6 linked regions of the Ovis aries genome follow. The protein of the gene in region 6 interacts with the protein of the main gene of each other region in a pairwise test. Links are inferred from orthologs where the notes say so. Each region holds a gene or a part of one and is shown on either strand. Other genes may lie near its edges. The genes, in order: PLEKHF2, MXD3, MXI1, UNC45A, MGA and MAX.

Region 1 (4,211 bases), on a different chromosome or scaffold from region 6:
ACTTTAGACTAGACCTTAGACAACTGATCTGACATAGCAATTCCTAATCTCAAACTTAAAGGAATCTTGGAGGTAAATCCATCCTTCTTTCCACTGACAGAGGCTGTTCTGTATGCAGAGGAGGAATGAGGCAAAATTAAGTTGGGGTATGGTGATGGTTGAAAGGAACATTTGTATTTGTCTACAGATAACTACAGCTAACACTTGTAAAGGTTTCTGTGATGGTGATTTCCTATTTTCCTATTTTAAAAATTCATCCTTGCCAGGTTTGTTTTAGCCACCAATTTTTTTAAAAAAATTTTGTTTCTGACATATTCAAACAGAACAGGATGGCAGGTGGAAGATCTGGGGAGGACAAATCCCAGACCAAAAGAAAGTTGGTTGGAAACAAGACCTGCTTTATGTTCCCTAGGTGGGTGCTCTTTCATGTGGCGTGGGTTCTGATGGCTACAATCAAAGGTAAAAAAAAAAGTTACTATTTCAAAGAAAAGAAAAAACAAAAAAAATGAAGAAAACATATAAAAGAAAAAGAGGTATTTTTTCAAAATCTTGTAATAGATCAGCGGGAAAGATAAAATTTACTCAAATCTAATTTCTGCCTATTCACTTTTTGTTTGAAGTGAATATGCAGTCTTCCTCACCCCTCACCAGGCCCACAGTCCTTATCTACCTTAGGCATCTTTTACGTCTCCACGGACCCACCAGCACACTTTGCTGCGGTATAAATGAAGGGGCACGTTCAACCTTATATACCATCATCACTGTTTCCAGGTGTGTGAAGTACGTTTGTGGTATCACAGAAAATTTGGGGAAAGACCAGAATTCTAAGTCAGGGAATAAACGCATCACTTAAAAGGCTGTGCGGAGTATGCGGGGTATGTTTTGCCGCCGTCGTTTCCTGTGTTTCAAGCGGTAGGATTTTTAGGGCAAGCAAGTGGAACACGTGAGGGGGCAGGATCGGGCGCGCTAAGAGGATGTAGCAAACACGTCTAGCCGGACGCCTTGGGCAGCTAAATCCAAAGCTTTCATTTCCCGGTCGCGGAAAGTTCCTGAATTCCCCGCAGAGGCCCGTTCGGGGTGAGAGGAAAGGGGCCCAGCCCTCCTTCCATTTTTATAGCGTCGTTAAGCACTTCCCTAGGAGGTGAACTGTCCTTTCAGAGGGCTCGCCTGCGCCAGGCAGCCCAGGTAAAAGACGTCGCACGTGTAGCCAATCCACGTCAGGGCGCGCGCCCTCAACTCCGAGCAGAGGAGCCAATCCCGAGCCCCAGCCTCCCAGGCGGGTGTGGCCTCCGCGTTGGCCCCGCCCCCTCGGGCCCGGCGCGCGGGACGGCCCGGGCGGGGCGAGAGAGCAGGCCAGAAAGGGTGGGGAGCGAGCGCTGGGGGTGTGATCGCGCCCGCGCCCGCGCCCGGCGTGTGGGTGGCGGCGCGCTTCTGCGCGCGCGCGCAGGGGAGAGGCCAGCCCCGGCGGCCGTTGTGGGCTTCGACTGGAGGGGCGGGAGGGTCACCTGCGAGCGTCTGCGACGCCCGCCCGCCCGCCCGCCGCGTCCGGATCGCGCCGGCTGCGCGGGGCCGCTGGCTGCACACCCTGCGAAGCTGGGGCGGGAGGCAAGGAGAGTCCGCGCGCGGCGCCCGGGAAGAGGAGAAGTCGGACCTTCGCCGCTGCGGCCGTCCGCGCCCGGCTGGGTAGGTGAACCCCGGGCTTGGTCGTCGGGCGGCCCCCCGGAGGGCCGGGAGAAGAGAAGCGAAACTTTCCCTGCGCTTCCCCGCCGCGGTCCCCGGGCCGTCGGCGGCGCGGGGAGGTGTCGTCGTCTCGGGCGGCGGCGGCGGCGGCGGCGGCGGCCGACGCCATGTTGGGGTCTGTGAGAAACGGGGCGCTCCCGGGCGGCTCCCCGCTCCCTAAGGGGCCGCGGCCGCCCGCCGGAGGGCTCGCGGGCCGCAGGGAGGGCCGCGCGGGTGGTTGTCCGGCCCGCGGGGAGGGGGACCCCGAGGTCCGGCGAGAAGTTGTGAGGGCGTGAAGACGGGTGTCCGTCGTCGCCACTGGCGTCTTGGGGTGCCAGCATCTTTCTGTCCAGAAAGTTTGAAGGGTCTGGGCATCAGAGACCTTGTAACTTGAGCAGCGTCTTTTTATGGGGTTTGAGGCAAAAAATTTAAAAAAAAATGGCACCGCACGATTTGCCCTGATAGAAGGGCTGAGTCTGACGCCTTACTTATTTGGAGTCTTTTAAAGTCGTATGCCAAAGTTTTTCTTTAACATATTTGTTGGGAGGCCGACAGCTTGCTGTTCATGCGACTTGAATACCCGGTGCGCTCTTACTACGTTGTAATAGTAACTTGGGAGTGTGCGGTGAAAAGAACGAGCAGTATGAAGGTTACAGACAACCAAGCTCTTCTCTGTAATTCATAGACTCGATTTGTTGATTTTTTAGTGCGTTACTGAAGAAATTCAGCTAAGAAAGCCAGGACCGTTCACTGAGAGAAAGGCATGTGTTGTTCCCTTAAGAATAAGGTGAAGTGATCTTGACATTGTGAAGTTTTCCCCCTCCGTTTGGTTCTATAAAGGTGCATGCCTACCGTGTTCTGAGCATTTACATTTTTCTGTACTCCGGTAGCTCATGGGGTCCTCGGGTTAATTCAGTATTAACGAAGGCTTCTGTTTTTAATCTCTTCGGGTCCTCCCAGCATTGGAGGTGAATGGTATTAAGTTACGTATTTGGAAAGCACATGTAATCGCCTCAAAAAATAAAACTGGTGCACTGACCAAGGCATCAAAAAAGATTCAGCTTGAATCAGCCCAGTAAATGAATGTCAATTACTAGTTTTAATAAAGGCATCTGGGCTTCCAAATTTCTGTTAATTGTATTGAGAGCATTCTTAATCACAAACAAGATAAATACTTCAACATGTCTTGGAGAATTTCTCTTCTTAATCTGTAGGTAAAAATAGAACTTCTGCTCAGATTTGATTGCTAATATTCTTAGTTTTTTTTTTTTTTTTCAAGTGTAAGGTGATTGCCATTATACATATGTTTTTCTGGATGAAAAGTTACCCAGAATAGAGGTGATTTAACTAATGTCACAAATCTAGCGAACAACTTGGTAGTTAACTGAGGTCTTATAACTGAAACCTTCTCATTTTTCTTAACTTTGCAGGATACTTAAATCATTCCCGTGGAGCAGTTTCTGTCCATTTTGTTTTCTCCGTCCTAGCTTCTCTTTCTGATTTTAATTTAGTTCCTTAGTGAGTGTGTGTGTATTTCCTAGGAATTTCCCTCATTTCCAAGGTTTTATGTACTGAGAGTTTTCCTCTTAAAAATACTCAGCCTATGCTCTTGAAAACTTTTTTGCACAGTTCTCCTTATCTCACTCCCTTTTCTCCCCAAGAATAAGTCACTTATCTATCCAGATGCATCCCAGTAAATATTACATTTTTCTGCCATGGCACTTCCTCAACAGAAAGCATTACATGAGCTCTGATTTGCCTCTTCATCCTCAGGGTGCTGAGAACATGATGCTCAGAAAAGGCTTGAATGGATGAATACACATACACTTTTTGTAAATATACTTCATGAATTTCTTTTTAAGTTGCATTTCTAAGAGTGAAAGTAGTTAGATCTTTTCTAATTGCCCCTCCCCCCCCGTCCTTTTTTTTTGAGATTTTACCTTAGTAACTCAACTAATTTTGGGCCAGGGGTACAGAACTTGAATGTTTATGAAATTTCCAAGTAGATATAATCAAAGAAGCAGCAGCAGTGGATCAGCAAAAAGATAGTAATCATACTTTTAAAGTGCAACTGTATTTAGTGTTTGCACTGGGTAGAAATAGTTAATGCCTTAAAATTTTGAAGATCATGTTTATACATTTAAGTTATTTGATGGAACACCCTAATTTCTCTTGTCACTTACTGTTTTGCTAGAATTGTCTTAGAATTTCGTTTTAGAACATCTTGCTTATTGGAAAACGTAAACATTGCTTTTCTATTTATGAATTTATCTTTGGAACCAGCTTTGTACACCAGCTGCGTGCTTAATAGCAAGGTGTATGTTGGCTTAAGTGAATAAAATGTACTCCGTAGATACACTCTCACAGTGCTATTTTAAATTGCAAACCCTCCCTAGGTGGTGGTCTGTAATTCTGTAATGAAATTACTGTAAAATTTGGGGTTAATTCCTTGTTCCCATAATTTTCTCTCCATTCAACCCATAAATCACAAA
Region 2 (3,996 bases), on a different chromosome or scaffold from region 6:
AGGAAGCAGGGAGTCCAGAAGGAGCAATCCCTAGGTCCCGCCCATGGGACAGCCAGCACCCAAGACACACATCCCTCTGAGAACCAGGTCAGCCAAACTCCACGTGAGACACCGGAGCCCACTTTCCAACCAGGGTGTTATTCAACCATAAGGCACCATGAGTACAGTGCTAACAGTTTCCACACCATTTTATTTGCTGCGTGGCACCTCCAGCCTTCTCTGCCACAGCTGCCTGTGCCCACAACAGGGCCAGGCAGAGCACATGCGCACTTGTTGCAAAGGAATCCAAGTCAAGAGACACAGGCCTCAGTTCTGAATCTGCCTCTCATCAGCCCGCTGTGCTTCCATTTCTTCCTCTGTCAAAAGAGCCAGGAGGGCAGGAAAAGGCCTCCACTGTTTCCAAGTCGCTTCTAAGCGCCCCCACTCCGTGGTGATGCCTCGTCTTGAGTCAGCCCATCCCACTCCCATCCACCAGGGGGCGCTGAGCTGAGCCCGGGAAGGAAAGGTCACTGGCGTCCTCTCAGCCCTTTTCCCCCTTCTGGCCTCTGGACCTGCCTCCCAAAGCAGGACAGGCCCCTCAGAACAGGAGGCCTTGAGGATGCAGGAGAGGAGGAGTGAGAAACAGCCCTCTCCAGACTGAGGGATCCTTATAGTGACCCATCACAGAATGTCCCCCATACAGAGGAGGAAATGAAGTCCAGAGAGGCTACCTAACTTGCTCCAGGTTTCACAGTTGGGATTCAAGTAATAATTGTAATAACAAGTGAACATTTATTGGGAAAACTTGCTTAAAGCCTCAGAACAATCCTCTTGGGTTACTTCCTGCTTTTCTTCCTACTTAAACTTGGAAACTAAAAGCACAGAGCCCAACGTCACGACTTCGCTCCTAGTTCCTCCCAGTCTCTCCCTATTACGCTTCTCCCAGCATCCTGGCAAGCTGGCCCTGGGCCCCAGGGTAGTGTCTTACCTGGATGTGCATTCTAGCCCTGCGCAGAAGGCTCAGTGTGGTGTATCGGACACAGTCAGCCCCCAGGGGCATCTGCTGCTTCAGCTGCTCCAGGCATCGCTTCAGCTGGGCCCTCCTGCAGAGGGAGGGGTCTAGAGGGCAGTGCCAGCCCAGGCTCATTGGCCGATGAGGGATGGCAGGGGAGGGAAGGCCAGAGGGAGGCTGTTCCTGGGGACTGGTGCTCTCAGGGCAGGGTGGGGACTCACCTGCGCTTCTCCAGCTCGTTGTGCACAGATCTGCCAATGCCAGAGAGGATGGGGTGAGGGGGTGTCAGTGTCCACACCCTCAGTCTCAGAGTTCCCAGGGGCTCAAAATTCACTACAGATGTGTGCCCCAAACTAGCCCACTGTGGGGACCTTGCGCTGGCCTCAGACAGCTGAGTCCGAGGCAGAGGCAGAGGCAGTAAGGAGGTCAAATGCTGAGGGAGGTCTGCCCAGGTGATGTGGGGTCCAAACAGAGTCCCCTAGCCACAATCAGGAAGGGCTTCCTGAACACAAGTGACATTTGAGTTAAGCCCAGCCACACAAGTTACCCAAAATGAGTAGTGGGGGGAGAGGCATTCAAATTGAGGGGTAATGGGTGTGCAAAGGGTTGAGAGGAGAGAAAAGGAGAATGCCTGTGAAGGAAAGCAAGTGGTTTCTTTTAGGAGTGTGAGTGGAAGCAGGACCCAGAACTATTATTCACAGTTCCAAACACATCAGAGGTGCTTGAGAAATAGTCCTTGAACGAAGTGTGTGTTCGGAGGATGGGGAAACGGCAGGAGTCTGTATGCCTCCAGAGCAAGGTACTTGGCCCAGAAGATGCAAGCAACAAGAAGGAAGCGGGCAGTGGAGAGACCCGATGAAGGACGGCGCCCATCCCCCTACTCCCCGCTGCCCCCGGCCCTCCTCACCGCCCACTGTCCAGCGCGCCAGGAGCTTGGGGAGACCGCTTCCTCCTCCTGTGGACTGGACCTGGACTCCGGTGAGGGCACAGGGACGCATAGCCATGCTCGGCCTCTGCCAGAGAGAGTCCCCGCCAGCGTCAGGCTAGTCCCAGCGGGCGCCCCATGCACGGCACCGTCAGAAAGGGATTTTGGGCTACAGGGCCATTTCCCCAACCCCTCCAGCCCACTGCCCGCGGACCCCTCTTAAGTTGAGCGCAGCGGTGCCGCAAGACTACTGCCCTAAAGCCATGCATTCTTCAAGTCTGGAGTCAAGCCCAGCCCAGGCCAGTGTCAGCGAGGTCGCCGCCTGGAGTCCGACCAAAGGTTCTTCCTCACCTCTCTCGCGGCGCTCCAGGAACTCCGCCGCCTGCAGCAAGACTTGGATGTTGCTGGCCACCGGTTCCATGTCGGCGACAGCCGGAGGCGGGAGGGCCTGTGGTGCAGACCGGAGCAGCGGCTACACCACTTTTGTTACAATGTAACTGACACGGGGCAACAAACACAGGCGCCCGGCCCGCCCCCAAGACGCCCCGCCCCGGGACAGCCTAGCTCTTGGCCCCGCCCTTCTGGAACGCGCCCTTGAACCGCAGCCCACCCTCCGCCCACCTGCCCGCCCCCTAGGACTCCCGTAGGGCTTCCACCAGGCCTGGCCCTCGGGCGAACGCCCGGGCTGGAGTGGGGGTGCCGCGTCTTGCCGCTTCGCTCAGCGACCCCGCGCCGATCACTTGGCGTTTCTGGGCCTCAGTCTCCAGCACAGTACTGGTGACTAGATGCCCGCACGCTGAATGGTGCCCTGGGGGCCGGTGGCCCACCCGAGGCCCGGGGCTTGGCCGCTGCACGTGGGCGCCTCGGAGGCGGGGCCGGCGGACGCCCTCGCCCATTTGCTCTCCGCCGCTTGTGGCTCGCTGACGTCACCTTATGGGAGGAGCAGGAAGGCCTCGGAGGCACTATTGGCTGCGTGCGGCTCCGCCCTCTCCCGCCGCTGGTCAACATGTTCGGGCGGGAAAAGGAGCAGGTTTCAAATTTGAAAACCCCGGCGATGGGGGCGGGGTTAAGCAGGGAATGGGGCCGCAATGCGCAAGCGCCGGGGGCCAGAGCGCGGATCTGGCTCCCAAGCTGCTGCTGCTACTAAATCGCTTCAATGGTGTCCGACTCTGTGCGACCCCGTAGACGGCAGCCCATCAGGCTCCTCCGTCCCTGGGATTCTCCAGGCAAGAGTACTGGAGTGGGTTGGCATTTCCTTCTCCAGTGCGTGAAACTGGAAAGTGAAAGGGAAGTCACTCAGTCGTGTCCGACTCTTAGCGACCCCACGGACTGCAGCCTACCAGGCTCCTCCGTCCATGGGATTTTCCAGGCAAGAGTACTGGACTGGGGTGCCAGTGCCTTCTCCGGGCTCCGGAGCTGGGGGGTTATTATCCTTGCAGGCTTCGCCTCTGCCCCCGTAGCTCCTCGCTGATCTTCAGCTTCCTACTGTGGCGAATGGGAATAGTCTCCCGGCTTCTCATCTGCCGGGAAGCTGTTGTTGCTACGAAAACGTCAGAAGGGTACCGATTTATGAGAACCAGCTGGCTAGAGTCCTGGGTTCTGCAGTCATCAGAGTTGAGTTCTCTCACCGCTGCTTCTCAGCTGTGTGGCTCGGGAAGTGCCCTCCTTCCTGTAAGTTAGGGAAGCCCTGCGAAACCGTTGTCATCGAAGACCTGGGCATTGAAGGATCAGAGCCGTGCGCAGTTTGTAGGAGCTGCTGATTTTGTAACCTGACACAGGCTTCTTCCTCCCACAGAGCCCATGGTTGCCTTGCTGCTAAGTCACTTCAGTCGTGTCCGATTCCGTGCGACCCCACAGACGGCAGCCCACCAGGCTCCCCCGTCCCCAGGATTCCCCAGGCAAGAACACTGGAGTGGGTTGCATTTCCTTCCCCAATGCATGAAAGTGAAAAGTGAAAGTGAAGTCGCTCAGTCGAGTCCGACCCTCAGCGACCCCGTGGACTTCAGCCTTCCAGGCTCCTCCGTCCTTGGGATTTTCCAGGCAAGAGCACTGGAGTGGGGTGCCATTGCCTTCTCCATGT
Region 3 (3,929 bases), on a different chromosome or scaffold from region 6:
TACTCCAGCGGGGAGCCGGCCGGAGGAGGAGGGCAACCGGGCCGAGGGGCTGATTATGCACTCGAAGTTGAGGGCGCCCAGGTTCCCAAGCCCCTCTCGGGGGGTGGCAGCGCGGATGCCTCCGTAAGGGGACCGGGAGGAAGCCCCTTGGCTTGCACGGTCCCCGGAGCCCGGCTCCACTACCTCTGGCCCGCCCCGTGCGGGGCAGTCCGGCCCGGCGCGCCCGGCCCTTTGCTTACGTGACTGGTGGCCACGCCGGAGCCCCGGCACCGGGTAAACAAGGAGGTGGCGGCGGCCGAGGCGGTCGGGGAGCGAGGGTGGGGGCGGCGAGGTGGGGAACAGAGGTCTCCGATTGTCTGCGAGTGCGAGGGGCGGGGGACGCGGGACGCGGAGGAAGCTCCAGCAGCTTCTCGTACACCCCTCTGTAGAGGGGACCGGGCGGGGGCAAACCAGGTTTGCCACTCACTGCCAAGGTGCCCTTTTTGGGTGCACCCCCCCGCCAAAGCCGGCGCCACGGGACAGACTCGGGGGAATGGGGGACCCGGGCGGGGGGGGGTGGTTAGAGTAAGAAATCACGCCCCTCCCCCTCCAACAAAAGCAAACACACCAAACAAAACCATGTCTTCACCCACCTCCCCACCAGCTCTGACCCTACAGGCGAAGGCATACTGCCCCCCACCCGACACCCGGAATAATCGCAAACTGATTCGGCTGCAACCGCCGGCGATGCGCCTTTCTCGTAACCCAGGCACCCCGAGAAAACAGGGACAGAAGAAAAGAAAAGAACGCACCACCAACCTCCCAACACAAATCCTTGTTTTTGCCTTAAGCTACTGCACGATTTCGCTGCCATCACGCGGTTACTTTAACCCCGAAGGCCTGGGGTGTCGGTCATCTAGGGTGTTTTTGTGTTTGAGGGTTGTTGTTGTGTTTGGGGGGGTTAGGTTGCAAGACTTGACACGTTGCAATCGGACCATTTTTCTCCCTTTCTTTCTCTCACCCCCCCCCCCTCTTTTTCTCTCATCTCATTGATCTTCCTACTTGCTCGGACAGATTAAACAGCTAGCTTTTCTCTAGTCTGTGGCCTGTCCGCCTCGGCCCCTTCCTCCTCGCAGCTATTATTTGTGAGAACCGTGCTGGAGACGCCGCACTCGCGTGCCCCCGTTAGGGCGCTGAGGCGACGGCGTGGGGAGGATTGGGGGACCCAGGCAAAAATGAAACAAACAAATATGAAAAAGGAGGCCAGGCCGGGGTGGGGCTCCCAGCCCGCCCCCCCCACCCCCGCCCGCAACCATCTCTCTCCACCTGAATCTGGGGTGGGGGTTGGGGGAGCAGTAGAAAGCCACCAGGAAGGCATCTGCCTTCCTCGCCCAGCGCGCTCACTCGGGAGCCGTATCCCGGAAAATAAAGAAACAGCACATAACAGCCCACACCTTCTTCCACAACTATTGTTTCCTGCGAGATCCCAAAGTTTCCTTCTCGCTGAGTCCCCCTCGCCAAGTTTCCCGGGCGCAGCACCGCGGGTCCCGGGCGAGCTGCTGGCGGTGCTTGGTTTTGCCGGCCTGTTTCTTTGGGGGTGGGGGGAGTCGGGGGCAGGGGCACCTAGGGCAGCAGAGGCGCAGGGGCACTGTCTCCGTGGACGCGATGGCCTGAGCCCAGCCTTGCAGCGAGAAGAGAGGAAAAGGCAAAGTAGACAGGAGGAAGAAGCAGAGCCGAGCCAGCCGGAGCCCACGCCGTGGAGGGCTGTTTGCTTGTTGTTATCGTTGTCGTGTGTCTATGTGTTTTCTTTCTGGAACCGCCGAGCTCTGCCTACAGTTTCCAACTTTCGTCTTGTAATCCCCACCCCACCCAGGAACGAGCGACGGAAAAACAACACTTGTCTGCCCGAGAAGGCTCCGGGGGAAAAAAAAAAAAGGAGAGAGGAAAAAAAAAAAAAAAGTAAGAAACGCGACCTCGAAGAGATGAGCTCTCGGCTCAGTTGTCAGCAAACAACAACACTCCCCCGCTCCTCGGCCCAGCGGTTCTCCCACCCTCCCGGAGACGGACAGACTGACGCACCGACAGCACCCCCCCCCCCCCCCCCCACCCCCCCGCCTACCCCCTGCTCGTCTTTGTTACATCTTTAGCAGCTTTGTGCGTGCGTGTCCTTTCTCCGGTGTCATCGGCTTTACTGCCGAGGGCTAGATGTGAGTGTGTTGGGGAGAGGGGGGCTAAGCAGGCGTCAGGGGTCGCCCAAGTGGGCGAGGAAGAAAGAGCCCGGCGCCGAAGAGGAGCCAGGGCCCCCAAACTTACTTTTGTTTTCTTTCTCGATCTGCTCCAGGTAGCTGGCGGCCTCGAGCAGAATCTGCACGTTCTGCAGAAAAGTGTTGATGTGCTTCTCCATCGAGTTCTCGCTGGTGTTGAAAATGTCCGAGAAGGGGCACCTGAGCTTGGCCCCCGCGGGCTCCTCCGGCTGGGCCGGGGGCTGGGGCGCGGTCACGGCCGGGGGCGCGGCGGGGGCCAGCCCCGCGCCCTCGCAGCGCGCCTCCTTGCGCGGCCGCCCGCGTTTGCCCATGGAGGGACCGCGGGGTCCGCCGAGCTCGTCCTCTTTCGGGGCTGCGCGGCCCGGCCAAGCTCCGGGCCCCGGGGGAAAGCCGGCTGGCTGGAGCGAAGAAGGCGCCGAGGCAAGAAGGCGACCTGACTTCCCGAGCCTCGCTGCGTGCTGTTGTGTGTTTGAGTGTGTGTGAGTGTGTGTCGGTCTCGCTGTGGGTCTGTGTGTATGGGAGATTGAATGAACCTACAGGACAGACGGAGGCGCTCTGGCGCCTGGGTCCTAGTGCGAGCCTGTCGCCATCGGACTGGTCAAAATGAAAGGCGGAGACAAGCGAGGCAGGGACCGCCCCCTGCCAGTCCTGGCATACTACCCCGCCTCTCCCCAATCTTATCACATTGTAGAGCGTAGTATTTAAACCCAAATGGAAAAAATACTCGAGGGCTCGGAGCGTACCCACAGAAAAACAAACTATTAAACTGTTGTTCTTTTACTTCACGTGAAAATAATACCAATGCCTGGCACCACATACTAGATTCCAACGGTAGCTGCTATGACTTAAAAAATAAAAGTCCAGTCCAAAAAAATCATACACGTTACCTCAAGTTCTCTCCCCTCAATAGACACACTCCTACATACACACACACACACACACGTACACGCACACGCACACACACAGAGGCACAGAAATCTGCCTTCACAGGGCCAAATGAAATCCCCAGGCCACCAAATCCCAGTTACAAATTTACTCACTCTTTCTTTCTCCCTTCAAATGCAGAGTTATTTTCCAGGAAGGGGGAGGAGATGGAAGCGTCTCTCCCCACACTCCTCTTCCCAGCCTTAGTCCAGCTGTGCAAAGCTCACAGTAGGGAGCCTCCACACCTGGCTCTCTTTTATTTTATTTGGCAGAAAGGCGGACGTGGCAGCCCAGGAACTTCCCACCCCTACCGTGGCTGAATTCCACCTTTTGGTTCTGAAGACCCCTACCCTAGGCGACACTGTTCCATTGCCAGTGCAGACCATTCAGGGTCTGCAGGAACCATGGATGCTTTCCAGGCCTGGGAAGTGTGGTGGCAGTCAGGGCCGTTGGGGAATGCCATAGAGAGGCATTCAAGCCCCAGCTCTGCTGCACACAGACTGGACTGTGAGTGTGCCTGGGCAAGTCCCCTAACCTCTCTCAGCCTGTTTCCCCATCCATGAAACCTCTGATAAGATTCATGAGTTGATTAAATTATATCTGCAGTCAGCATGCTCATAGTATGATCTTTTTCTTCCAATACAGACCCAGATAAGAACCTGAGTCCCCTACTTGGCAGCTAAAAGGAGAAATAAGTTATAGGAAACAAGACTCTCCTGCACTTTGTTGAAAAACATCTGTGCAATAAGCCTATCTAAATAT
Region 4 (2,525 bases), on a different chromosome or scaffold from region 6:
GAGAGGGCAAGGACCTAGGCCGTAAGAGTGCAGGCCCTGGAGTCAGACCACCTGCTTTCAAATCCTGGCTTCACTGGTTATTAGTGTGTAACCTCTCAGGTAACTTAACCTCTCTGTGCCTTAGTTTCCCCCTCTGTGAAATGGAATGGTTGTATACCTATCGCATGGAGTAGCAGTGAGGATTAAATGAGAAAATACAGGTAAAAGCGTTGACTACCTGGATGCCTGACTCCTAGCAGTGTGTCCAAGCAGTACGTATCAGCTACGCCACTGACGGTGAGACGTCTCAGTCTTGGTCTCCTCTTCTGCAAAACAGGAGTGATAATCACACGAGCACCTTTACCATAGGGCTTTGGTGAGGGTTTTTTAAAATACATTCATTATTTGGCTGCACCAGGTCGTAGTTGCAGCATGCAGGATCTTAAGTTGTGGCATGTGAGGTCCAGTTCCCTGACCAGGGATGGAGCCTGGACCTCCTGCATTGGGAGCATGGAGTCTTGGCCACTGAACTGCCAGGGAAATCCCTGTGGTGAGGATTAAGTAAGATCGTCCAAGTGCTGGGTCAGGGTGAGTGCTCAGACGTTAGATGTTAGCATCGCCATCATCACCCCCAGGTCTCCTAACTCCTAGTTGAGAGTGTTTTCCAAGGTCCCGCATGCTGTCTCCTTGGCCGGGTTAGAAGGCTGGAAACCACTGCCTGGTGGCTTCAAACCTGCGCAGGGCGGTCTCTGCATGTTGCCCAGGGAAATCCTTGGCCCAAGGCTTGTTGTAGGTATGGGGAAATGGGACAGGGAGTGACAGATGCTAACACTCTGGTGATGCTGATGCTTCCGCCCCGGCCCCACAGGCAGAAGATCCTGAAGGAGAAGGCCGTGCCCATGATCGAGGGCTACATGTTTGAGGAGCACGAAATGCTCCGCCGGGCGGCCACAGAGTGCATGTGTAACTTGGCCATGAGCAAAGAGGTGAGGGCTGGTCCAGGCGGTCACTCCAGGCAGGCATGCAGGAGTACCCGGCCCAGCTGGGCTCTGCCCCATCTGACTTGGTCCCTCCCCGCTTCTGGCCGCAGGTGCAGGACCTCTTTGAAGCCACGGGCAACGACCGGCTGAAGCTGCTGGTGCTGTACAGCGGCGAGGAAGACGAGCTGCTGCGGCGGGCGGCCGCCGGGGGCCTGGCTATGCTCACCTCCATGCGGCCCTCGCTCTGCAGCCGCATCCCCCAAGTGGTCAGTGCCTCTTCTTGGTGGAGCTGGGGGAGGTGGGCCAGGATCCCCCAGCCTGCTGGCGGTTGGTTGGTGGGAGGCAGCCCCAGGGTGTGCAGGTGGTGTTCGCTGCCGGGTTCCCTGCTGCGCCGGGGTTCCCTGCTGCTCCGTGGTCACACTGCCCTGTTTCCGGCAGACCACACACTGGCTGGAGATCCTGCAGGCTCTGCTTCTGAGCCCCAGCCAGGAGTTGCAGCACCGGGGTGCTGTGGTGGTGCTGAACATGGTGGAGGCCTCGAGGGAGATCGCCAGCACCCTGATGGAGAGCGAGGTGCTGGAGATCCTGTCGGTGCTGGCCAAGGACAAGGAGAGCCCAGTCACCAGGGCAGCCACAGCTTGTCTGGGGAAAGCAGTGGCATATGGGCTTATCAAACCCAGCCAGGACGGAAAGTGAGGGCCTGCCTCTCGCACACGCTACCCATCGCAGCATAAGGAGCAAGGACAGACCGGCTGGTGGGGGCTGGGATGCAAACACCTGGCCTCTGCTCCACAGCTGCCCTTTGATGTCCTCTGTTCTGAGTCAGGGAGCATATTCACAGCCCTGCACTCCCAGCACAGCCTCTGGCCTCCGGCCACACGCAGCAGGGCACTTTCTCCTGTACTACTAAGACAGCTGGGAATGAGGACAGCATGTCCTAATTCAGCCTGTGGGTTCCTGGCTTTGGGAAGGACACAGCAAGCAGCCTCACCAGCTATGAGCATCACCCGAACATGCTAGCAGGACCACTTCTGATCCTCTAATAAAAGCTTGTGGAGGGGTTTCATTGTTGTCCAGTGGTTAAGACTTTGTGTTTCCAACGCAGGGGCTGCAGGTTCGATCCCTGGTCAGAGAACTAAGGTCCCATGTGCCAGTGTGGGCAAAAAAATGAAAGTATGTGGTACTCAAGTAGGTGCTCTGTCAGCGGGCAGGGATGGCTGGCAGTGGGCCAGAGTATGGAGCAGGTGCTGGGCATGATTGAGTAGTGTGGGTAGCTTTACAGCAACACAGCCACCTTTAGGGAAGGGATCAAATGGATTCCCACCCCAGGTCCACTGAGTTGCTCATCCCTGTTAGAAGGCCAAAGGGTAAACATTGGGGAGCAAATCAGTATTTAGTTACATGGATATAAATGCATTCAGTTCAGTCGCTCAGTCTTGTCCAACTCTTTGTGATCCCATGGACTGCAGCACACCAGGCCTCCCTGTCCATCACCAACTCCCGGAGTTTACTCAAACTCATGTCCATCTGTTGCCCTTCTCCTCCAATCTTTCCCAGTGAGTCAGT
Region 5 (3,500 bases), about 40 Mb from region 6:
AAAATAGCAGAAATGAAACCAAACAATAAAGGACAGCAAACATTATTACCAGCAAGACTAATATGACATGATTGATTTTCCATTACAATCCACAGTATCCAGTCCTAATTACTTGGATTGAAATTTACATACTTTAACACCATACTGTCACACAGTCTCACATTAAATCAAAAAGTTCAAACATTACCACTGAATTTAGAAACTGAATGGCTGTTTACAAATCAATGCTCTGCTGGTATATAATGCTTAGACTTTCATATAAATGATGTACTATACAATGTGAATCAGCCTAGACAGTCCTTTGAAAATTGACTGTCAAAACTCAAACTACTCCAAGAAGCATACCTAAAAGATATGAGAAAATTAAAAGTTGAGGCATGGTTTACAGTCCTTCTGTTTACAGTGCAAACAGGGAGGAAAGTCAGTAGTTAATTATAATGGCATAGGTATGGTAAATTGTGCTATTCTTTAAAAAAGGATTAAACCATTTAAGCAGGGCCAAGATAAATTATTTCAACAAAATAGGTAATGATGAAAATTTTAAACTACACTCCAAGCAATATAAGAAATATATAAAATGTTTACAGTCACGTATAAGAAATAAGTATTCTCTTTACACAGCTAAATATATTACCAAGTACATAAAAAAAGTAGGGCTTCCCCTCCAAAAACAAAACAAAGGAACCTTCAAAAAACCCCAGAAACAAAAGCAACCAAAATTGCTTTATAAGAAAGAAAAACACCACTTTCTTACCATGATACATTGTTAATGCATAATATATTATGCTTCACCAATGATAGAACAATATCCTCTGAGTCTGAAAAGGTTTCTCTTAGGATACAAAAGACCTAGGCATGCTTTTTAGTTAAGGGAAAGAATCATGAACAGAGAGAACAAAAAAAAAAATGCAAGCTGAGAGAAGGGCTAAAATAAATTAAATCAAAAGAAAGGGGAAAGGAGGAAAACAGAAAAGATTTGGGGAAGGAACAAAGGGAAGAGAGAAAAAAGAGAGGGCAAGAAGAAAAAAGAACAACAACAACAAAAAAAAACAAGGCTTGCATAGTTTTCAGAGAATTATACCTTCTTGAAGACCAGGATGTATGACCTGCTTGTGCCGCAAGGCCTTCAAATCTTCTATCAGTTCCTTTTCCAACTGGGAAATTCTTGCTCTGCAACCTACTCAGAAAACAATGATAAAAATAAGCTGCTATATACTACAGCAGACTACACATTGCTTCTTTCACTTCTAGAACCAAATCCTCCATCTCTCTTTTTTTTTTACTATTATATAATACCTGGGTCATTTGCAGCTGATGCCTGAAGACTACAAGATTCTTCACTTGTTCCATCAACTGCATGAATATCTAGAGCTTCCTGTATTTAAAAAGAAAAAAGGAAAGAAAAAAAGTGGTTCATGTCAGTTCTAAGGATTTAAAAGTAAACCAGGGGCATTTTTTCCATGTTGATACTTTTCACTATTTTCTAAATGTTCTAGATTAACATCACTTTAATAGTGGGGAGAAAGCAAAAAATTTAAATATAATACACTCAGCTACCTGACTTAGAACTGTATTTATGCCCATTTATTGCAATTTGTATACTGATTTCTTCTGCGTGCATGCTAAATTGCTCCAACTGTGTCCGACTCTTTGTGACCCCATGGCTGTAGCCTGCCAGGTTCCTCTGTCCATGGGATTCTCCAGGCAAGAACACTGGAATGAGTTGCCATGACCTCCTCCAGAGGATCTTCCCAACCAAAGGATCGAACCTACGTCTCTTATGTCTCCTGCATCGGCAGATAGGTTCTTTACCACTATCTCCACCTGGGAAGCCCCTGTTTAATTAAGATAGATTACTCAGCAATTAACAAAGAGGGAGGAAAAGAACAGGCAGAGAGAATTCAACCTCTGTGTAGTCAATTTACAAAGACTAGGTTTCTCTAAAAATCTAAAAGAAAAATAATCTAGTTGAAGCGTTGGATTAATACTGCTAACCCAATATTTCAGATACTCCCCTTCCCATGCACACAACCTCATATAATGGATGCATTCACAGTAACTACATTCTAAGATAACTAGCAGCTAGTATACAATTCAATGGTGATTATTTGGCCTTAGAAAGAAAGCTGAAAATGACAATCTTACCTTTGATTCAAAGGAAACAAAGAGAACACCATCTACATCTTCCAGGTCAGGTTTCACATCTGGAAAGGTACTCCCAGGGCCTGTAGGAGTGTTCTTCGTAGAAGTTAAAGATCTTCCTGTGTTTTTAGGCGGCCGCCCTGCCTTAGACAGTTTCAGTTTTCGTGGCCTTCCTCTTTTTCCAGGGACATTTGGAGGGGCATTCTGATTAGCATTCACAGTCCTAGGAGCCGCTGAAATCTTAAGCATAGTTTTCTTTCTGCCCAAGTCCTCTTTTCCTAAAAACGAGTCCTCAACTGAACTCTTTGAACCATCAAGTAGTTTTTCTGTGTTAACAATGTCAGATATATCAGGGTATTTCCACTGAGCTTCTTTAAGTGAGGGATATTTTTGTACTACTCTGATATCTGGTGAATGTCTTCCAAGATCATTTTCTGATTCTCTGCCTAAGCAGAAGCCAGTCTCATTAGAATTTTCAATGTACGCAGGCAAATAGTCTAATTCTGTCAACAGAGAAGATCTATCCTTCCGAGATGTGCAAAGCATGTTGTCAGGGAGCTCAGAAACCTTCACTGTGCTTTTGGTGACAGCACAGGGCTCCAGATAGACTACTGGCATCTTTCCAGCATCTAATTTGAACATTTTCGCTTTAGCAACACCTGATGGGCTATTTGGTTGCCATTTAGAAGATGGATGGTCAGCTTCTAGGTTATCAGCTTTATTGTGCCTTTTCAACTGTTTCTCTAGTATAGGATCATCATCACTGTTTGAGTATACATCTGTTTCCTCATCTGTCTCTTCCTGTTTCACAGTGACCCCTTCTGGGCACTCACCAAGTTCATATTCATAATCATCCAAAGGCTCTTCTTTAATGACAACATTGAAGTTTTCATTTGGGCTTAATGGTGACGTTACATGGGAGCCATCTTCAAAACTGTTGCCAAGGCTGGAGAGAGAGGGTAGGGAGGGTTAAAAAGGACAGAATTATCCATAAATAAGACTCAAGAAGGGAAAGGTAGAAAAAGAGATTGTTGAAAACCAAGTAAAATCACATCAGATTTCAAGAGCCATTCATTAAAAAAAAAAAAAAAACAACAGCACTCTGTATAACATAACAAGCTTCTCAATGGTTTACCAACATCACACTTTTACATATTCCATCAATTTCTCATGAAAAATTTATAAAACAAAGGGTAAAGTTTTAACAAGTAACTCTCATGACTAAATCAAAAAGCAAGATATGTTGTAACAGTTATTTTTCTAATAGTATTCTTCATCGCTTCTCAGCCTTTTGGCTAAGATCAAACCTAACTACTCTTCAAATGAATTCAATTTTGAAAGTTAGCTGGCACTGATAC
Region 6 (3,500 bases):
GCATAAACAGAATGAGACCATCACACCCTAGGTTAGGCACACAGCACATGGCTTACCAGAGCGCAGCATAAACAGAATGAGACCATCACACCCTAGGTTAGGCACACAGCACATGGCTTACCAGAGCGGCAGCATAAACAGAATGAGACCATCACACCCTAGGTTAGGCACACAGCACATGGCTTACCAGAGCGGCAGCATAAACAGAATGAGACCATCACACCCTAGGTTAGGCACACAGCACATGGCTTACCAGAGCGGCAGCATAAACAGAATGAGACCATCACACCCTAGGTTAGGCACACAGCACATGGCTTACCAGAGCGGCAGCATAAACAGAATGAGACCATCACACCCTAGATTAGGCACACAGCACATGGCTTACCAGAGCGGCAGCATAAACAGAATGAGACCATCACACCCTAGGTTAGGCACACAGCACATGGCTTACCAGAGCGGCAGCATAAACAGAATGAGACCATCAGGGCACCCAGTTTCACTGGCCCAGGTTTAGTTCTGGATAACCAAACAAACCCAAAACTCCTACCTCAGAGCTAAATCTAGACAGCCCAAAGCACACCTGAGAGCAGTGGTTTTTCTTAACATGGTTGCTTCTTGAAACACTGCATTACTGAACCAACAAAACAACCAAACAGACAAACAAATAAAAAAAACAGGTCCTCTTCCAAATTTGCCACTTACACCACTGAACAGCTGCAGACAGCAGCCAGTTATATTGTGTGTCAAGGATGGAACTAACTGTGCAAACACATATCTTCTCCAAATTTCAAGGACTGACCCTAACCTATAGGCTTTTTAGTCAAAGCTTTGGACTTTGTTTTTCAGACGTAAAAACAGTTGGTGCCTACCTCTCCAGGGAAAACAGTTTCTGGAAGGCCACCAATGGGGTAGGGGGATGAGGGAAGAATAGTGGTTATTTTTCTCTTTCATTTTGTGTGAACAGGTCTCTTCACTCAAGTTCACATTTAAAATGCTCTCTCTATATATGCCTTTGGAATAATAACTACTCTTAGACTGGGAGATCACTGATATCCAGATGGGTTTACATACATTCCTGGGAGGTTTCATTTAAAATGAGTACCACTTTGAACCATACGAAAGGAATTTCCATGGAGGTCCACAGAATCACTGACCTCAGAAATCCTTAGCATTATCCCAAACTACTGTATGTTTGTTGTAATGATTTCTTGAATGAGTAATTTTTTATATGTAATATTAATTTTAAAAGATAGCTCCTACTGATGTCTTAACAAGCAGCTCCATTACATCTGACATCGTTTGTTAAGGATGAACTAGAGAATAAGTAAGGTGTGTGATGACTCCCCGAAGAATCAAAGATGAAGGAAACCATGTCACCCAAATATCCCAGACTCCATTTCTTTCTGGAAAGGTGAGCACCCTGCTAAGCCCCACAGCGCGTTCTAAGCTAGTGGTGGCTCCTCAGCTTTCTCAATAAACTCACCTTCTCTCCTTGGAGTGAGGGGACCGAGTCCCGCAAACTGTGAAAGCTGTCTTTGATGTGGTCCCTGCGTTTCCGTTCCAGTGCATTGTGATGAGCCCGTTTGTCAGCCTGGAAGAATGGGAAAAACAGCACATTAGCAGTGGCACTCCTCCTGCTGGGCACAGCTGAGCGGGTACAGCCTGGAAGTATGTGTTGTCAGCGCAGTCCCAGGTGACTGGACTGGGAAGGATTTGTCGAGGTGGGCAGTTAGGAGTCTCCAGAATTAGGCTCTGCTAAAGGGGGAGAAAGGGGTGAGCAAGGCTTGCGACAGGAACATCCAAAGGAGCTCGATGCATCCAGCTCATGCATAAGTGAAATAAAAGTTATTCACGGGGACAAAGTGTGACTCTCCTGGAACATCAGTTTTCTCCCACAACTTACTTATGTGACACAACAGCTGCCAGTCCCACGGCTAGGAGGTGGCCAGGGAAAAGCTGCAGTGGGCCCCTTCATAAGAGGTGATCACCCCCACTGTAAGAGATTCCCCTTGGCGGGGACCCAGGAAAGGAGTCAGGTCACTGGCACAGCACTTCTTTCATGCGAAAACATCACCGTGAGTCTGCTCTGGTCTCCACCTTGCTAAAGGGTACTAGTTTTAAGACCTGCTTGCCAAATCACATATGAGGAACTAAAACTTCTGGAAAACCCAGATGCATGAATCTGAGATCACCATGACAAAGCTGATATAGACGCCAACTGCATTCTGAGCTCCTTTTTTTTTTTTCAAGTGCATCCAAGTGCTATTCTGCCAAGGCCTCCCCTTCACAGGCTGCCAGAAAGGTAGTTCTTAGACAGCAAACCTTCTGACACTCACATACTCTGAATAAATTTCTTCAGGCACCTGTGGCATGTCATGCTTATTTGGCAGTAGCTAAATACCCACAGACCAAAGTCCTTATCCTGTCCTGCTTAGAATCACAAAGAACAATCAGCTGAGAGGGGCAAAGACAGCCAACAAATCAGGGATGGCAAAACACACTAGGTTCAGACGGAAGACAGTGCGGGTGAACACTGCAGGGAGCTTCGGCAGATCCCCATTACAGGGGCAGTCCCTCCAATGGAGCACAAATGCTGGCTTAACCCAAAGCAGGGAGCTTCGGCAGATCCCCATTACAGGGGCAGTCCCTCCAATGGAGCACAAATGCTGGCTTAACCCAAAGCAGGAACGTCACATCCACACTTCGGGACTTAGTGGAAATACTGTACTCTGAGAATTTACCCCCAATACATGAGGCTGCACTGAGCTAACCTAAAGAGGAAGTCTGGACATAGGAAGTTCAGGTAGCTTTAACCTACCCAGACACAGAACCCGCAATTTTAAAAATGAAGCGACAGGAGTGAACAAATTGGCTTAGCACAAGAAAGCCTCAAATGAATCTTTGTACTAGACAAGATGTTCAGATAAAAGTCTATAAAGAAAAGACTTACGGGAATGAAAGGACTTGAAATTCTAGTATCTAATCCTAAAAGTCTGAGTCATGACAGAGGAAAAAGAGGCTGGGAGCAGCTGCGGTAATTTTAGTCACTTCCTGGTCTCTCAAGCACAACACCTCACCTACAGCTCTGTCGAACAGGACACAGGGTTCCCATCACAGCCACGGTTCTCCATGGCATAGTGCTTGTTTTTAGGGCAGATGCCTGGAACACAGCTAAAGCTCTCCTAATTTTACATCTGGATTCTCTGTAAAAATGAGTGTCTGCTGAACTTCGGCGATAATGTGGAATTTACGGGGAAACTGAGGGAATGACCAGATCACCTGAGGCTAGAAGGTATCACATGGCATTAGAGCAAGAAAATTGCAGGTACCTTCTGTCAGCTATCTGAATAGCTTGAAGGAATTAAACATATTTAAGTACCTAGTCCTTTATCTAACTTACCATTCCCTCTAGTCATCTATTGATAAGGTAGTTAAGCTGGGCTGGTTCTTAGACCAAAAACTTCAGAGGGCTAAGAGATGGCATTTGGCATCTATCTGTC

What was found.
Region 1: the proteins of MAX (region 6) and PLEKHF2 interact in binary tests that used the Homo sapiens proteins (3 or more experiments, as listed by UniProt). The two-hybrid records come from large-scale screens. The link is inferred for Ovis aries from reciprocal best matches to the Homo sapiens genes MAX and PLEKHF2.
Region 2: the proteins of MAX (region 6) and MXD3 interact in a two-hybrid assay, tested with the Homo sapiens proteins (4 studies listed by BioGRID). The link is inferred for Ovis aries from reciprocal best matches to the Homo sapiens genes MAX and MXD3.
Region 3: the proteins of MAX (region 6) and MXI1 interact in binary tests that used the Homo sapiens proteins (3 or more experiments, as listed by UniProt). The link is inferred for Ovis aries from reciprocal best matches to the Homo sapiens genes MAX and MXI1.
Region 4: the proteins of MAX (region 6) and UNC45A interact in binary tests that used the Homo sapiens proteins (3 or more experiments, as listed by UniProt). The two-hybrid records come from large-scale screens. The link is inferred for Ovis aries from reciprocal best matches to the Homo sapiens genes MAX and UNC45A.
Region 5: the proteins of MAX (region 6) and MGA interact in binary tests that used the Homo sapiens proteins (3 or more experiments, as listed by UniProt). The link is inferred for Ovis aries from reciprocal best matches to the Homo sapiens genes MAX and MGA.

The regions. Positions count from the first base shown.
Region 1 is NC_056062.1:82,115,588-82,119,798, reverse strand, and holds the start of PLEKHF2 (pleckstrin homology domain-containing family F member 2), read left to right. Parts: upstream 1-1,411; 5' UTR 1,412-1,683; intron 1,684-4,211. UniProt on the Homo sapiens protein: May play a role in early endosome fusion upstream of RAB5, hence regulating receptor trafficking and fluid-phase transport. Enhances cellular sensitivity to TNF-induced apoptosis.
Region 2 is NC_056058.1:36,485,779-36,489,774, forward strand, and holds the start of MXD3 (max dimerization protein 3), read right to left. Parts: upstream 2,801-3,996; 5' UTR 2,538-2,800; intron 2,419-2,537; exon of another isoform or gene 2,365-2,418; 5' UTR 2,338-2,364; coding exon 2,268-2,337; intron 2,005-2,267; coding exon 1,899-2,004; intron 1,243-1,898; coding exon 1,213-1,242; intron 1,083-1,212; coding exon 968-1,082; intron 1-967. UniProt on the Homo sapiens protein: Transcriptional repressor. Binds with MAX to form a sequence-specific DNA-binding protein complex which recognizes the core sequence 5'-CAC[GA]TG-3'.
Region 3 is NC_056075.1:30,309,547-30,313,475, reverse strand, and holds the start of MXI1 (max-interacting protein 1), read right to left. Parts: upstream 2,801-3,929; 5' UTR 2,555-2,800; coding exon 2,293-2,554; intron 680-2,292; exon of another isoform or gene 1-679. UniProt on the Homo sapiens protein: Transcriptional repressor. MXI1 binds with MAX to form a sequence-specific DNA-binding protein complex which recognizes the core sequence 5'-CAC[GA]TG-3'. MXI1 thus antagonizes MYC transcriptional activity by competing for MAX.
Region 4 is NC_056071.1:21,027,041-21,029,565, reverse strand, and holds the end of UNC45A (protein unc-45 homolog A), read left to right. Parts: intron 1-847; coding exon 848-965; intron 966-1,069; coding exon 1,070-1,693; 3' UTR 1,694-2,025; downstream 2,026-2,525.
Region 5 is NC_056060.1:35,312,770-35,316,269, reverse strand, and holds part of MGA (MAX gene-associated protein), read right to left. Parts: intron 3,089-3,500; coding exon 2,146-3,088; intron 1,376-2,145; coding exon 1,297-1,375; intron 1,178-1,296; coding exon 1,082-1,177; intron 1-1,081. UniProt on the Homo sapiens protein: Functions as a dual-specificity transcription factor, regulating the expression of both MAX-network and T-box family target genes. Functions as a repressor or an activator.
Region 6 is NC_056060.1:75,286,682-75,290,181, forward strand, and holds part of MAX (protein max), read right to left. Parts: intron 1,592-3,500; coding exon 1,484-1,591; intron 1-1,483. UniProt on the Homo sapiens protein: Transcription regulator. Forms a sequence-specific DNA-binding protein complex with MYC or MAD which recognizes the core sequence 5'-CAC[GA]TG-3'. The MYC:MAX complex is a transcriptional activator, whereas the MAD:MAX complex is a repressor.